Xenopus tropicalis: one gene and its partners. The protein of the gene in region 3 interacts with the protein of the main gene of each other region in a pairwise test. Links are inferred from orthologs where the notes say so. Each region holds a gene or a part of one and is shown on either strand. Other genes may lie near its edges. The genes, in order: csnk2b, dao and prkab2.

The links.
Region 1: the proteins of prkab2 (region 3) and csnk2b interact in a two-hybrid assay, tested with the Homo sapiens proteins (2 studies listed by BioGRID and IntAct). The link is inferred for Xenopus tropicalis from reciprocal best matches to the Homo sapiens genes PRKAB2 and CSNK2B.
Region 2: the proteins of prkab2 (region 3) and dao interact in binary tests that used the Homo sapiens proteins (3 or more experiments, as listed by UniProt). The link is inferred for Xenopus tropicalis from reciprocal best matches to the Homo sapiens genes PRKAB2 and DAO.

The regions. Positions count from the first base shown.
Region 1 is NC_030684.2:74,724,366-74,730,688, reverse strand, and holds the start of csnk2b (casein kinase II subunit beta), read right to left. Parts: upstream 4,712-6,323; 5' UTR 4,611-4,711; intron 3,536-4,610; 5' UTR 3,528-3,535; coding exon 3,456-3,527; intron 2,154-3,455; coding exon 2,051-2,153; intron 1,578-2,050; coding exon 1,462-1,577; intron 1-1,461. UniProt on the Homo sapiens protein: Regulatory subunit of casein kinase II/CK2.
Region 2 is NC_030677.2:146,532,978-146,538,350, reverse strand, and holds part of dao (D-amino-acid oxidase), read right to left. Parts: intron 4,159-5,373; coding exon 4,076-4,158; intron 2,894-4,075; coding exon 2,776-2,893; intron 1,918-2,775; coding exon 1,819-1,917; intron 330-1,818; coding exon 198-329; 3' UTR 1-197. UniProt on the Homo sapiens protein: Catalyzes the oxidative deamination of D-amino acids with broad substrate specificity. Required to catabolize D-amino acids synthesized endogenously, of gastrointestinal bacterial origin or obtained from the diet, and to use these as nutrients.
Region 3 is NC_030680.2:118,095,487-118,101,748, reverse strand, and holds part of prkab2 (5'-AMP-activated protein kinase subunit beta-2), read right to left. Parts: intron 5,684-6,262; 5' UTR 5,669-5,683; coding exon 5,507-5,668; intron 5,220-5,506; coding exon 5,062-5,219; intron 4,151-5,061; coding exon 4,057-4,150; intron 2,806-4,056; coding exon 2,685-2,805; intron 1,878-2,684; coding exon 1,744-1,877; intron 946-1,743; coding exon 877-945; intron 1-876. UniProt on the Homo sapiens protein: Non-catalytic subunit of AMP-activated protein kinase (AMPK), an energy sensor protein kinase that plays a key role in regulating cellular energy metabolism.

The DNA of each region.
Region 1 (6,323 bases), on a different chromosome or scaffold from region 3:
GGCATCTCACAGTTGTCACAGGAGCTCCCCATCTTGGAAAGGGTCTGTGACACACATGCTCAGTGGGCTCTGGGCAGCTGTTGGGAAGCCAAGCTTAGGGGTCGTCACAAATGATCAAGCAGAAAATAAAGGTTCACCTGTCATAGAGGGTGATGCTGATTATTTCTGACGCTAACTGCACTGGATTCAGAGCTACCAAGTATTATGAATCTGAATAAATTACTAATCTGCAATATATTGTGACATTTTTATTCTGTATATACAATATATTGTGAGTTGGTCCCTATGCTCAGTAACTGACAGCAGCACAGAGCATGTGCAGGGAATCAGCAGAAAAGAAGATGGGGAGCTACTGGGGCATCTTAAAGGAGAAGGAAAGGCAAAGTCACTTGGGGGTGCCAAAATGTTAGGCACCCCAAGTGACTTAAATCGCTTACCTTCTACCCCAGGCTGGTGCCCCTGTTAGGAGAGAACAGCACCAGCCCGGGTTACCTGCAGCACTTCCTCCTTCCGTCGCGCGCAGTAGAGTGAAAAACCGAACTTTAACAGAGAAGTCGGCTTTTCACTCTACTGCGCATACGCCTGTCCTTAGTCCTTCCAAAAGCGAAGGTGGAAGGAGGAAGAGCTGCTTTATTTTGTTAGTTTGCATTAAAAGCAATAAAAAAAAAGATTATAAAAAAAAAAATACACAACCAAAAGTTTCCCAGTTTCTATCGGATAGGGTATTTGCTCTTTATGGAGTGCCTTGTCGTCAATGCATAAAATACTCAAAGAAATGAAGCTAACATTCTAACATTACACCATGAAGGACAGCACCAGTTCATAATAGCATATACCCTAATCCCAATCACTCTAGGGAGAACAAGCTACTAACAAGTGGGAGTGACCCAAAATATACAGAGTAAGCCAGCAAATAATTGATTAACTCATGTGACCCCTATCAAAGTCAAAAAAGCTGCAGCTCTACTCATTGGTTTGAATGGGTATCTGAAATAATGACCCCCCCATGGTGCTACAGACTGCAGGTTGTGCCCCCCCCCCACATCATCCCTTAGAGAAATTCCTTCTCCCTATACTCTAAATCCACAAGCATGGAAAAATCAGTAACAGAATACTTAATTACAAACATATAAAATTGCTAATGCATGGAAAAATCAGTAACAGAATACTTAATTACAAACATATAAAATTGCTAATTCAGTATTATTTCTGCATCTAATCGTTGTGGAAATAGGGCTAATTATAAATGTAACTACAGAAAGCACTGCTGTGGATATTAACTTGCTGGTAAATAAGCATGTAAAAACTGTGCCCCTTGAGCCTGCATGCTTCTAAACATTTCATATACCAAAGTGAATTTGGAAACACTATAAATAGCCAGTCAGCAGTATTTTTATCATTAACATTAAAAACTAAAAATACAGCTGCCTAAAATAATATCATTATCAACAACACTCTCACCATCTGGGCAATGCCACGGTTAGTCAGTATGTAACGGGCATGGATCAGTCCATATAACATCTCTGCGGCTTGTTCAATGAGGTCACTTTGATTGGGATTATCTTCCAATTCCTCATCTGCATGAGAAAAGCAGAGAAATAAAAACAGATTTGGTGTAAAAGGGACCATTGTTTGCACATATAAATAAGCAAGGACAGCTGGGCATGTCAATATTCAATGTAAACTTAGAAACAATTCTTCAATATGGACACTTATAAAAAGAGCAGGAGATAAACACGGTGGTTGGGAAGATTTTACAAGATGCAAATCTAAAAATTGTTGGTATAGTATAATATAGCTGATACTCTAAAAAGAAAAACTGCACAAAATTCACGTAAACAAATGATAAAGATAAAAAGAATGTACTATACAGAAAACACAGCTCTGTCCCTGCAATAGAGACTTGACAAAGGCTCGCCATTTCTGACTGGTGAAGGCAACTGTAAAGTACAGCTGGATATAACCAGTTCTAATAAAAAGATAATGTTTACTATGCCTATGATGGCATGCATATTAAGTTAGCTGAAGTCACAATGGGAGATATTCTCACCAGGTTCAAGGTCCAGTATCATGTCCAGTGCCTGTCTATAGTGAGGGACCTGCTCATTGAGTCCTGTCAAGTTAAACTTATCCTGGATATAGTCTTCATCCACCTAAAAAAGAAAGTATGTCAGCAAAGCAACATCTTTAGAAAACCAGATGTAATATTTAATAGGCTGCCCCTCAAAGGACATGTAAATACCTGTGATTCTGGTTGTTCAAAGGTATTGTAAGGCTATTGTAAGGCTGCAGCAGCCCCTTGATAACTTGGGATTCCTTCTCCTCCTCTAACCTACTCTTCCTTCGGAAATGACTTTGGCTGTTGGCTACTGGGCATGCTTAGCTCTTAATTCAAATTACCAAACACACCCTCCAGTCTAGCAGCCAATGAAGAGAGGTCATCACTGGTTTTCATAAAAACACTGCTCTAGCTGTGCACACTGCTAGAGAAATATGCTTATGTGTCAGAGGGAAACTGATGGGTAAAAGCTCCTATTTGTTTTAGAAAAATATGTGAACAAAGGCGATATATGCAGTACATATGGTTCAGTTGGTGTGAGGAAGATGTGTCCAACCTTTATGGTAGGAAAATAAAGGGTTTACATGTCCTTTAATGCAACGACTGGCATTTTGTCACCTGCATTTTGTTGTGGCGACAAAATGGTGAAAAATTCCTTTCCATTGCAGACAATATTAAATGCCAAAGATAAAACACAATGTAATTGCACAAAAATGGCTTCTTAATTATTTTTGTACAATTATACAATGTAAGTGTTCTACCTGCAGTAACTGCAAATGGAGAGGTAATTCTGCTGGAAATGAAAAGGTGGAACAGTCAAATCTTGACTGAGCTGAAAGGCAAGCGGGTAGGAATAAATCCTTACAGCTGATTAAATAAAAAGCACTATTAAAAGGGGAAATAAAGTCAAAATCTTAACCGAGTGTTTATATATAGCCCTAAGATAGGAAAGCACTATAACAAATGTTGTTCTATATAAATCAGACGGCAAAGCTAACTGTAGCTCATTTTAGGGGAATAGCAAAAGATGCAAAATACAAAGGCTTCTATTTAAAAAATGATAGTTAATTTTTAATGGGTTTATATTGCAAATGTATTTAATTTGGTCTAAACAACACACACAAGCATTATGATTTTTGACTATACAAAGCAGTGCCGAGATACATTTTTCAGAAAGAGGAGTAATTTTCTTTTCAGGAGGGGTGTGAGATAAGAGAGGCTGAAAGAACATCAGCAAGAATAAAACAGCAGTAGGAGGTAGTATTTTTTTTCTATATGATGAAGTGGAGTGTTTTTTACAGCTATTTATTTCACTAACCTGGTAGGTTTCTGTCAGTGATTTTGTGATTAACAGTTATTATTTCTCTCAAAGAAAAGATCTTTAAGTAAGACTCACCTCACAGAAAAATTCATTGCCTCTTAAACCACAAAACCAGCTAATCCAGGACACCTCCTCTGAGCTGCTCATTTTCTAGCCTGAGGAACAAAAAGAAAAGCTTTTATACAAGGAAAATGAGAGTAACTCAATAAAAAACATAGTATTGGGTCAAAATATGTATAAACGAATTAAAGAAAATTAAACAAAACTAACACAGCAATGTTAATGAGAGGCAGCAAAAAAAAAAACTGGAGCGCGTGAATTAAGCTATGGATATTACGCTAAGGTCGAGGCAAAATAAAATATAAAAAAGGGAACAAATGGGGTGCTGTAAAATCAGATGACAGAAATAAGATGTAATATGAAAGGTACAAGTGGGGTACAGACAGACAAGGGACAATAGCTATGGTTCCATATAATTAGGGAGACAAGATGTGGGCACTGTAAGGTCTACTGGAGGGAATAGGGAACAAACAAAGCACAGAATTTTTTAAATAAAGAGTCAGCAATCAAAATAAGCCCACAGTGCAGCAGGAGACTAAGTTACTGAGATGGCCAGGTTATAACATTCCCCCAACAAAGCACGAATACCCCCACCCCAAAACACGAACACTAGCATTTCTAGGAAAGATCAGCAGAGGAAAACATCTCAGATCTCCCTTTTTACCACCATTACTGCCACATTTTGGCTGTGCTGGGCACGTCTGGCGCCGGATCCCCTGTACTAAGCTGGGAATAGACTGCAGCAATATGGGCTCCCCGGAGCAGCCGCCTGCGCCCTCGCCCAGGAACCCGAAGCCATAAGCCTTCAGAATGGGCGCACACTGCGGCTTCAACAACTACTGCGACAAGAGGAATAAGGCGCCCCCAACAACATCAAATGATGCGGGGAAATCCGCAATGTTGCTTATAGCAAAGTACAAGAAAATACACAGCAGTCTCATAGTCTATCTGGAACGAAACAACGGAAGTTGTGTTCCGCTCTGCCTCACGTATAGATAGGCCCGAAAGGGTTAGGGGGAAGCCAGGCGGGGTGATGTAAGGCCCGGGTCTATAGCTCGACAATTCCGGTCCAAACAAACGCGTTAAAACATAGGACACAGCCAAGATACAATGGGAGATTAGGAGAAAAGAACCGGAATACACAAGGCGGGCTTTACCCCAAACACTCACCTCCAAGGGACCGCTGCTTGCCGTATATTTGGAGGCTTTGAACCGGCAAAATTTCACCGCAGCGCACTAGGCCCGGTCCCCTTAGTGCGCAAGCGCATTAGAAACCAGAAGCAAAAAGACCGGAAGTAATTCTTTCTGATTGAATCGCGGGAAATGTAGTCATATAGATAAAACTCTACACCGGATGCGATTCGTTTGTGAGAGGAGACGTGGATAACTAATACGTGACTAATGTAATTTTGTATATTTTTGTAGATGTAGGCGCATGCGAGGCTTTTTTAGTTACGTTATGGAGTAGTGTAGTCATTAAAAGAACCATCCTGGATTTTCACAAAGTGGCAGTGAAGTTTGCAGTAGTACCTGCTTAAAGCTAGTGTACATGGCATTGCTGGATGTTTAAGCAAACTCATAGGGCACAGTGAGCCACGTCTGGATGATTGAATCATAGCTTATTGGTTTGTGATGATCATTATGTGCTTGTACAGTTACCATCAGGAAATGACTGAATCAACACTCCAGGCAACTTTGGCTGGATGCGATTTTTAAACCTGACAAATAGGGTTGCCACCTTTTTGGAGAAAAATACAAGCTTCCCTGTTTTTTTTTAACCTTTTTTCCTATTAACATCAGCATCAGGGAACCGGCCAGGCTGGTAAAATAGCAGGCAGATGGCAACCCTGGTGCCAAATCATTCCCTGACCCTGTGTCATACAGATATTGACTGGGCAGAAACCCCTTATATGTCATAAGAGACGCCCTGTCCATACCTCCCAACATTAAAAAAAAATGAAAAGAGGGACAAAAAGATTTTTTGACCACGCCCACTTTGTGTGGCCACGCCCCAATTGCCACTCCCCATTTTTAAAAAAAATACTCCTTTTATATATATATGAAATGGCGGGATCAGACGCAAATGTGCTATACCCTCATACTGTACTACCTAAAGAAAAACAATATAGCAACTCCTACATATAAAATACAAATATAGAGAGAAGGCAGTCAGTTATAAGTGAGTTATAACTATGTACCAGTTTTGCCCCCCCCATACACAGTGCCCCCATACACAGTAGCCCCCCATACACAGTAGCCCCCCCATACACAGATGCCCCCCATACAGAGTAGACCCTCCCACAGTGTCCCCCACACAGTGTCCCCCATACACAGTAGCCCCCCCATACACAGGTGCCCCCCCCATACAGAGTAGCCCCCCCATACACAGTATCCCCCCCCACACAGTGTCCCCCATACACAGTAGCCCCTATACACTGCTGCATAGTTTTTTGATACTATGGGGCACATTTATTATGACAGGTCCAAATACGAAAAATACATATTTTTTCTAAAGTTTACAACTTTTTTGTACTTTGCGACAATTTGCACAACAATTTGTGCGACAAAATCGTATTTGTCGCAACAAGTACAAAAGTTTTGGATTCATTCAAGCTTCGTTATCGTGACTTTTCTTGGGCCAGGTTGGAGCTGCTGAGTGCCATTGAGTCCTATGAGAGTCTTCCAAAATCATGCACTAAAGGTTTAAAGTCAGAAAGGTTTTCCCACCATTTACAATCGTTCGAATCTGAAAATTTAGCCATTCGCAAACGATCGTTTCAATACGAAAATTTTGGAACTTTCGGATCGTAACTATGAAATTTTGTGATTCAGATTCATACTTTAATGAATCTGGCCCTAAGAAGTTGTGTGATGTGATTGGTC
Region 2 (5,373 bases), on a different chromosome or scaffold from region 3:
AACTGTTTTTGGGTGAATTGGTGCAAATATGAAACTATACATGTTGAAGTATTGATTGGTAAAATTGTTAGCCAAACTGGATACTGTACCAAGATAGCATACAAGAAATCAGAGAAATCATAGTCTTCATTCTAAATTCAAAACTTGTTTTGTGGCAGTTTCACTTCCTGGATGATTTCTGTATGTGGCAGTCAAAATCAAAGGGAAGACTTAGGAGTCTCTTTAAGGTTCCTTTCTGCAAGGATCTGCCCAAAGATCTTTGCTGCCTCCATGGCACACCCCCAATGAATTGTAAGACCGTATCCACCATGGCCATAGTTGTGAATTATCTGTAGTAAAGAGAATAAAATACAAATATTAGCTTAGCTTACATTTATAACATACTTTTAGTTATATTTCCAAGTAAACAATGTGGTACATTTTATAAAACACAGCGTTTAGCATAGTAATAATACCAACGAAACAAGTCACTGTTTTGATATTGTTTTTTTATGGGTACCTCCTTTAGGTCACAGAATATTCAAAGAGACATTAGGCGTCATTTTGTATGTCCCCGAGAAGAAGTACAATAGCACTAAGGGCCAAAAGAGCTCTCCCTTTAGTAGTCATGCAGTGAGCACTTCTGTCAGTGGGAGGCTGCAACCTGCACCTCACTCCAGCCCTGTCCTTAAGTAAAGGCCTCCTTTGCAGCTTACATCCACCGTCACTTCTTAACTTGCGCATCTAAAGTTACAGGACTGGGTATGCCTAAGTGCATCCCGTCATGAATACAGTGCTGCTGAATGCAGGCAGATCAGTATTTCCGGGGGGGGGTAGAATTTTAAATTAACGTTAGTATGATGTTGACAGTAATAATCAGTTATCAAACTGTTATTGATCTTCATTTTTTTTTTTTCTATTCAAGCTTTATTTAGACAAAAACATCATAGAAAGATACATTTTGTACATTGGTTTTCTTCTCATTTCCATGTACTTTCTATTCATATCTGCACATTTGTTGCTTGTATTATTTTAGTTAAACATCATATTTTTATACAATAAAAAAGGAACTTATACATTCGGTAGTTGTGTACTAGTCTTTTTCAGCTTTTACTCTTTTTGTTGATCTTCATTTTTTATGCTTTTTAAATTAATTATTCAGAAACCCTGCAGCTTGGAATTTCAGGAGGCTGCTAGAGTAAAATTTATTCTAGCAACCAGGCAGTGGCGTGAATGAAAGACTGAAAGATGAATGGTAAAGGGCCTGAACAGAAAGATAAATAGTAAATAGTAACAATACATGTAGAATCGTAACCTTACAGAGCATGCTTGTCACAGAGCACTGTTTTGATGCTGATTTCCTCCTTTTACCACTCAATGTAAATTCATTATACAGCTTTTTATTCAGGGGCAGTGACAGACAAACAGTTTTGACTACTGCTGTTCACCATCAGAAGGCAGCAGTGATGAAAGCACTATTTACAATAACTCTGATGGAATTATATGCGGTACTGAAAAGGTGAACAATTGCACACCAATGGTTAAAATAAATGAAACAAACAATAGCAATATACTTCAACAGACTGATTAGGAAAAGGCTAAAGGGCAATGAAACACAGAGCTACTTGTAGCCAGCTAGTTCTCCCTTGTTGCGGCCGACTAATCTCCCCGATATGCCATCCCACCGGTCTCCTGCCCCGGCCCTGTGTGTTTTAGCAGAGACAGTTCTCAGTGTTGTCTATGGCAGGGTATTTTCTGTCATTTAGTACTCGTGATAAGTATCTCTGTGTTTTATAGCCCTTATAGTGCCAATTGCAGGACAATGGGGTAAGTACTCACCTGGCTCTTGTTAGATCCAGAAACAAAGGCTTCCCTCTCCAGTCTCACTTTGCTGCGTGCTGGCCTCAGCCCAGTCCATGTATGCACAATCTTTGCATTCTGTCCAACAATACAAGTTATTTATGATTAAAGTAAGTCTTGGAATCTGTGTGTCATTCATTGTATGATCCAACTTACACCAATGGGTCACTACTACTTCTAACACTTCTTCCAGGTAGACATTATTAGAAGTTACTGGGCCTTACAACAATATAATGTCATGGCCCTTTTGAAACAAGACATTTTTATGGACATATCTTGAAACTGCTTACTTGCCACTGTTCAGCAGGGCATGCTTCCTGTATTATTACATTCCTGCTTTCTGGTTTCCTTCAGCAAGGAGTTTCTCTTTACTGCCCCCAAGAGTCTTGCCTCAGGACACAAAATAAAAAAAATGCACTAATGCACTTAAGCATGCATCCATATCAGCTACCTGGATGGTATTTAACCAGCCTAGCATGTAATAAATGCCCCCTTTCCTCACCTTCTCCACTGTTGATGAGCCTTTATAATTACAGGCCCACATCAAAGCCCATTTTCCCAGCCCGGTCTACCCATTTACCAGTCATATTCACCCTTCCCCACCCCCAAATGACATCACAGCCCGCCCTTGACCCAAAGGCTTGTATTATGGGAAAAAAGGTGGCTTACTAACATCACACAAGCTCCATTGTGGAATTCCAGAAAAAGCATGGCTACGGTGGTAAAATCATAATGTTTCAGTTCTGCAACATTTTATCCTATTTGCCTTGTGCACCTTACAGAACACAGTGATTACAGGGTTATCACTAGGGTGAATGAGGAGAAATGCAATAAAGCTTAGGTGAAAGGTGCAAGAAGGTTTTCCCAGAAGTGTCTTTATGCCACCACCACAGTCATCCAGGGAAAACTGACTCTACATTGAGAAATGACCCATACCTTAAGACTGGGCACCAACTCAGTACATTTATCCCAAATCCACTTGTAATCCTCAGAATTGTTTTCCTCGCTCCAATTTCCCAGCTGATAAATTCCTCCCAACGTGACAGAATCTGACCTGCAAACATAAAAGTTTGCAAAAAAAATTCCTTAAAGGGGATATACAAAATATAAATATAAATATATGTGTCTTTTCTATTCTCTGCATTGTATTAATATAAAAACATTTTAAAAAGTAATTATACAAGACAGTAAAAATGCTGCTTATATAGATCTAGTCGCTGCAGGCCAAATATTAAACTGTCAAGCTACAACCAAAATACGGCCCAGTCAACACTGGGCCTGCACTAACAACAGATAATGCATCAGGTTTGTAATCTGCTGTCTGTCTATGCATCTAGAATTTAAAGTAAGTTTCCAGCCAGGGAAAGGGGTTTGGCAGCAAATAAATCATAACTAAATAAATTGTGTAAAAAATGTTTAGGACATTTAAATAACTTTAGTCATGTCTGTCCACCCAACATTGGAATTTATAAGTATGTGTATGGCCAGCTAAATTGCATAAGTGCATTTACCCATAGCCAACAATTAAATAGAGAGTTTTGGAACTCCCTGAAAGGGTATAAGAAACAATTCACCTTATGTGGTGCATATAGATATGTATATATGTTGTCTATATCCCTAGTGCACAAGAATTCCTACTCCCAGTGTCAGACTGAGATGGCAGGGGCCCACCAGAAAACCCTGGACCATGGGCCCACTCTCAACACTTTAACTCCTCCTCTCCTCCCTCAAACTCTTTATTCTCCTAGTCTCTTTTCTCTAAATACTATACTCTATTCTTCCATCTATCAAGCCTCCTTGTTTCCATACAGAAATAGGGAATGACCATGAAATAGGCTAAATAGATAGAAGCAAAAGGGCCCACTGACATCTGGGCCCACCGGGAGTTTACCTGGTATCCTGGTGGGCCAGTCCGACACTGCATACTCCACTTCCCTAACTGTTTCTGGAGCTGTCAGCAACTCCTGTCCTACCACTGTATCTCTTCCTGCCACTCAGTATCACAGGTAAATGCAGGGATGAATTCTATTCAGAAAAACATGTATCTATAAGCAATGCTAAATAATGGAAAAACTTGTAAAAGTTCTGCTTCCAAATACTTTCCTTCTGTGTTCCGCAGTTTTTGTTATACTATCTGGTGCAGGCTGGGACAGCACAAAATTATCTGTATTGTTATTAAAAAGAAAATAAAAAAATGTTCGCATTAAATGTTCATATTTTTGAAAAAAAAACATACCCTGGTATGATATATGGTGTGGTATAAACTCCAGTCTTCAGATCATGGGTTAAAATAAAGTGTTTCATCCAAGGTGCATGCACCTAGAAAATGATAAACAGTATAGGGAAATATAAAAAATAATACATGCAAATACATCTTTATAGAGAATACACAAAGAAAAACAGAAAATGTAAAAATAGGATATCTGCATTTTCTACTAGGTTGCAGCACAAGGTAGTAATGGAGTAATATAGGCTGAATGGAATGCTCATTTCTTGTTTCATGCTATCATTTGAAATGATACTTTCCACTATCATGGATGGGTTCAAGGTCATTTGGAATATATGAAGCATAATATAAAGCCACTGCATTCATAAACTATGGATGCCATGGTTTTGGCCCCCTCCCACCGGTAATACTTCTGCAGATACCCTGCAGCAACCCCATAATCAGCAGAAAACAACACTCTGCATGAATATATGGATATTGATACAGAGTGTTGTTTCCTGCTGATTATGAGGTTGCTGCAGGGTGTCTGAAGTGGGAGTGTGGCACATTCATTAACCAAATACACCCTGTTTTTCTAGACTGAGCCTGTATACTATAACTAGGTGTATAGGTAATGCCAGGTTTGTAGGGAAATCAATTTACTGGCAAGCCTATAAAGTCACTAAAAACTTACATAATTGGTAACTTAGGGGGGCTGTTTAATTAAGAATGTGCTGCAGTATACATAACACATAGGTAAATTCTATTTAAAAAACATTTAACCAGAAGCAAACAAACACTTATGTGGCTATCCCAGCTGGAACTAACAAAGGCATACTGTATTGTTATAAAACAGTTTACATAGATGGCTGACCAGTTACAATTTTATATATATTTGATGGTATTGATTTGGTTTATAAGTGTGTATATTAAGAAACGTATTGGGATAGTTTAGAAGCAGGACTGGCATGCAGGAACAGAGCTGTCAATCAATGGGGAGACTGAGCTAGAACATTAACAGGTATTTCAAATAATACACACACAATAAAATCTCCCTTTCCCTAACTAACAAATACAGAGGGGAATCAGACTGGGATTTGGTGGGTTTCTTTGGTGCAAAGGCCTTAGGAGCCATAGTGCCCTCTTAATGCACAATAACACACACATGCAAGCAGACTCATACACAAGCAAATTTTGCCTGCCCACCACACCGAAGCAAAGCCATATTCACAGTGTCACACAGTTTTTGTCTCTCATACACACATGCCAGTATGTAGGCCACTGGGCACTTGTCCTGTATAATGTTGCACTGGGGTAGCTTAGGCCCA
Region 3 (6,262 bases):
TGACTATCAAATATTATTGATCAGTTACAAGATTTAAGATTAGTTTAAGATAAAAACTATAAACTGAAATATAAAAATGTATACTGCATTATTCTTGTACAGTTAACACATCCCCCATTGCATTTAACTAAGTAGTAATTCTATGAATTTGCACTTTCAAGCAATTCTGAGAATTCATGCGCTGGCTTGTAAGGCAAAAAAATCTTCCACCCGCCCGTGTCCACTACTTCCCAGCCACTTATGTTGAATAGGTAAAAGAGCGGCTGGGGAGGGAAGCAGACCCCCTGCGACCGCTGCAATCTGGGCCCCCTGCAACCGCGGGGACTGCTTCCATTATAGTGTCCAGCAGGAGTGGAGTGTGGGACTGTGTCCTGGAAGAGACTGTGCCGGGATTTGGCTTAACCACACAGGTTTTCCAGAGCAGGCTTTATTCATATTTTAGCACTACTTTGACCCACACTCTTTCGTTTATGCAACCAGCATGCATGAAATCCTATTTCTTGTGAGTTACTGTCCCAGTTTTTTTTAATAAAGGAGCAGGTAAATCACATGAAGGGGCATATTTATGAAAGTGTAAAATTAGAGCTCACCACTGTAAAATACTCCACTCTGTTTCTTCATGTGGTATTTTTAGAGGAGTATTTATCAAATGGTACATTCTAACTTTCACCTATTGATAAATACGTCTCTAAAAATCCCAATGGAATGAACAGAGAGTGGGTGAATTTTACTGTGGTAAGGTCTAATCTCACAATATTAGATTGTTAACGATATTCATGATGCTGGCAGCTAAGCTGTATGGTAGTCCTTTATACTTTTCTGCATTACTAGGGTCTGAAATATTTCCTTTAACCCCTTATTAACAGAAAACTTTACCTTTATTGACAAAGCATACAGATGGTTTAGCATGACGTGATTGGGTTCTGGAAGGAGGGCAGGATCACACTAAAATAAACATACATGTGTTAGAGAAGGTTTTAACATAACTTCATATTCAAACTTTTCATGTGTTGCAAGTCATGTCTGTACACTTAAAACACAAAATGTGTTACCAGTAGGAGCAAATGATTGTCCTCTGCTAATACTAAGAAGAATGTTAGGAATTTTAAGTAAAGAGATAAAAGAAGGGTTGAAGTGTTGTGTAACCACATACTGACCTATGGGAAATGCCAGCATTAAACATGGATTTTGTATTAAGATGTGCCCACAAAAACTGTTCTACACATTTCTCTCTTTATACTGTGGGGGCAATATAGGTGTATTGATTCTTTCAAATCTACTTTTTCAAATTTATCAGCTTAAGGGCGAGGTCAGATGAAGCTTCTCTCAGCCCTGCGCTTTTCTGCCAGGCTGAGAGAATCGGATCTGCTTCCGTAAGTTCCTCAGAGCTGAGCGGATCAGTGGTTGGTCTGGAAAATGTTGCGAAGCTGCATGCTGCCTGGCCATTATGAACACTATAAAGCATTTCTAGAGACTTTTATATGTAGCCCCATTAAAGGAAAAGTAACACTAAACATTTTTAAGTAAAAAATCTATTCTACCCTGCCCCAATAATTGCCCTATCCTGCACACCATTTATTATTTTGAATGCTTTATTAAAAAATACCTGCTAAAACTTGGCTTGCCTGCTCCTGGATTAAGGGCAATAGAAAAAATACATATTTGGATCTTAATTTCTCCAGGTAAAAGAACATTAACAAAAGCATAAAGAGCTTCTTCAAATATATAATGCTTTAAACTCACAGAGATGTTGGTGTCTTTGTTAAGTATAACTTGGAGAAGATGGGGAGGAAGGATAGGAGGTGATTTATAGCGTTCCTCTGGCTTGTAAGCATATAGTTCTTGGCCATAAAGTCCAGGAGGGGAACTTGATAAGTCTATCAAGAAACAAAATGAAAAATAATAGGTGAAAAGGGCAACAAGTCTGCATCAGATCATTATATGTAATACATTTATCTTCAGATCCACTGACAGCAAATACAGGCACTAAATCTTAATACAAAAATATTTAGAATTCTGTGTGAAATGGAATAATTTCTTCCTAAATGGACTGAGTGAAATTAAATAATTTCTCCCTAAAATATTACACCCCTTGATAATCATAGAAGGAAAGGCTAATAAAGAGTTAATCTCAAGCTGCAGGCATACCTTCAGCTCTCTCAATAGTGCCATTAAGTCTCCCCATATTTCTCCCGATCAGAAGCCAAACAGGAAGAAAAAACGCTGAGCTGTGTAAAAAAAAGTTCCCATAATGCCTCACTCCTGCACCCAGACCCAGACCGGTGTACATGCTCAGTTTGTAAGACTATGAGGAAGCTTCCTGCTGATTGGCTCAGATCCACATTCCTATGGTGGGGGAGGGAGTTCTTAGCATTCTTGAGGGAGGGGGGAGCAGGACAGGGGAGAGAGGAGAGAGCTGCATGTCTCTAGCAGAGGAAAACAGACACAAGAAATCTTTTGACAGAGAACTCAGTGCAGCGTTTCTGTGAGTGTTCATGGCTGTATTTACTAGATAGTAAGTGACCACATAGTTTATTGCTTGCAGAACATTCCTTCATTGTATATAGGCTGCCATGCTGATTGCTTCAGTTGGGTAACTAGCAACAATGCAATTGAAAGCACCAGATTACCAATGTAGAATAACAGGTTGTATTACAAACTAACAAATGAATGCCAGTTCCTACCTCTAGCTGATGTGTCAGAACTCTCCATTGAATCTAATTTTAAAGCATCAAATACTTCAAAATCCGACTTCTTAACATGGATCAAGTTGTTGATTGTACCAAGCTGGCTGGTAACCACAGGCTGAAGAGAGAATGAGACTTGCAGTGAAGCCACTGGTATAATCCTATCACTTTAACAGTCAGAACATTCTCCATATATTAGGAAAGCCTAAGAGTATGATTTAGCACTTACAAGCACTAGCTCTGTTCAAGTTGTGTAAATGGATGTGTATAATGCATAAATTTGAAACATATCTTGTTGTCTACTTTCTGTCATACAGAAAGTATCCAACAAGAGGGCACAAGCATGATTTAATTTTACCACAACAAGGCCAAGGTTAAAATGTGCAAATATATACTAGTTGTGATCAGTTCTGTATTAAAGTGATACTGACACCAGAAATTAAAACTTTTTTACATCTTTCATAACATTGTCTTTGCATGAGCTTTATAATTTTGCCATAAACATATTTCCTGAGGCTTTTACATTACCTATCTAATCCCCCATGTTTCTCTATGAGGGGGCGGCAATATTTGTGCAGCAGGAGTCTGTTAGCATTAGAAGCTATAACTGACAGGCTGAGAAGGGACAGTCAGGTTAGCAAAACAGTCGGGTTTAGGAACTTCAAGTAACAATTACTCACAAAAGCAGCCCTATCAGTGAAAAATGATCAACATGACCTATAGGTAACTTTTTATGTAGATTCATATTTTAAAAAGTAGTTTTTTCGTGTCAGTATCGCTTTAAAGGAGAAGGAAAGGCTAAGTCACTTGGGGGTGCTGAAATGTTAGGCACCCCCAAGTGACTTAGATCGCTTACCTTTTACCCCGGGCTGGTGCCCCTGTACGGAGAGAACAGCACCAGCCCGAGGTAGCAGCGAGCGCTTCCACTTCCTATTCGCTTGCGTGCGCATGCGCAGTAGAGTGAAAAGCCGAACTGAAACAAGAAAGTCGGCTTTTCACTCTACTGCGCATGCGCCGGCCCACGGATTTCGCTGGCAGAAGAAAAAGGAAGAAGGAAGCGCTTCCTGCAGGTACCCTGGGCTGGTGCTTTTTTCTCCTAACAGGGGCACCAGCCCAGGGTACAAGGTAAGCGATCTAAGTCACTTGGGGGTGCCTAACATTTTGGCACCCCCAAGTGACTTAGCCTTTCCTTCTCCTTTAAGCAGATACAGTTATGTGCAATGACACTGGGAATCATAACACACAAACTCATCATAACACAGCCAAATAAACAGTCATTCTCCCCTGTAAGCTTCTCATGTGTGGAATTTTGAGATTTAGTGTGAATGGATAGCCTTTCTAAACAAGCTACAGCTCTCCCCCGATTTACCTCAGAAGGGTCATGTACCCATTGGCCATCCACAAAAAACTTGTACTGATGCTCTCCCTCTGGAAGGTCCAAAATGGCAACAAAGTCATTGTGGCTACAAGACAAATTTAAAAATGAGAAGTTTAAACCGACAGAATGAATAACATGTAGTGAATAAAAAACCAAGTGCTTTTATACAAGTCGTGGAACTCAGTGACTATTAATATTCTTATATTTTACAACAGGGGTTACTATATTTAAGAAATTACACAAGTTTCAGCAACTTCTGTGACAGACATTACATTACTAAGCACTGATTATAACTGACAACATCAATAAGCACCATTTATAAGGATATAATACAGAAGAGCCACAAATTTCCTGTAAATTATATACTTAGAAATGGTGCTTAGTGATGTCATCAGTTAAAATCAGTGCTTAGTGATGGAGTTCCATGACCTGAATAAAAGCATGTGTCCTTGGGCCTTGTGCTTTTATGTAGTCATGGAACTCCTTGGTGACTTTTAATATCCTTATATTTTACAATAGGGGTACATTATTTACTTTATAATGTATAGTATATTCATGGCTCTTCTGTATTATAAACAAATATACACAAAAGTGCTAAGCTACAGTCTTATACAACTAAGATTTGTCTCTTAAAATGAGTATTTATTGATTATAGCTCTACAAGTCACTTATTTTCTTAGCAAGATTCAAACAAATATTTGTAGATGAAAGAGCGCACTATAGTATTAAAAGATCACATTCCCACTCCAGTCTCATATAGCTTTTAAGTTAATAAATATTTCTATAGGTATACATGCCCCTGGGCTGCTTTCATTTAAACAGGTGCCACTGTGCAAATAAAAAAGCTACCTGTTGTTAGGGAAAAAAATATTAAGCCTTCCCTGATATGTTTAAAAAGTATGACTTCTGCCCAGCTAGAGAGTTACAGGTAAGACAATCATGTAAACTAAAAAATACAAAACCAATATATGCCTATTTTTATGTAAGTTGTACTACCTTTTAATCAGTGGAATTTTGGCAGTCCAGTTGTTAAATGACCCAGATATGAAGACTTCTTTGCCACCTTCTGTCCAACGGATTACAGTGGGACGACCTTGCTGAGCTGATTTTCCAGGATCCTCTGATTCCTGGGGCCACGTTGAGTCACCAGGGTGCTGCATTGCCAAAATGTAAATTAGAAATAGATTTATAGCTCGGGAAACAATAACTTGTGGGTCTCCAGCTATTGTTGCTATCTACCTTTTGTGTCAAGGGATTTCTCAGAAATGTAGTTCAACAGCAGGAGGTCCACATATAATAAACTCTTTAGAAGAAGCACTATGGAATGTATTTTTGCATCCCTTCTAACACTAGCATTCGGGTCATAGTAAATGACCCCTATGGCATTAAAAGATCACATTCCCACTCCAGTCTCATATAGCTTTTCAGTTCATTGGAATACCTTAGATTCTTGAGTACTAAAGATATTTGGGTCGTCTGTGCTTCCAACCATGATTTTGTTTTCCTCATGCTCCTTAGTAGAGTGTCCCCCAGTTGCTCCATCTGCACGGTGGGACTTGCCATGCCGATCTCCAGATAAGCGATCACTTGCTGTGTTACCCATATTTGGCTCAGGCCACTGCAAAGCAAACAAGTTGTGGTGTAAAGTGTATTTTATATGAAGGGGAAATATGTAAGAGAGCCAAAAGTACAACTAATAAATAGGGTTAATATGGCTCAGGCTATTGTTTTAATTTTGAATCATATATCTTATTTAAGCTATGCAAAGAAAGCATGGTTTATCTTTACACAGCTTCTGTGTCTAGAAATGTGCAATGCAAGTCAATGCAAGGAGAGACAATGACCTCAGTATGATATATATCAGCCTCAGAGTGCCTGGAGTTTAAGAAATAAAAAAGAAAAATAAGCAATGGGTAACTGTAACACTCATTCTCACTCCTTTACTGGAATGAATGAAGGGCTCTATCACATGGGATCTGTATGTTCTTTCCATGCTTGTGTTATTTCCTCCAGGTACCCCAGTTTCCTTTCACACTCCAAAAATATGAACTGGCTACTGATATCATTGATAGGAACTTAGACTGTAAGCTCAACTGGGGCAGGGACCGGGTAGTAATAATAATAATAAAAAATATAAATAATAATAAGGCTATTCACTACAGATTCACTACAGTTTTTTGTCTTTTATCATTTACAA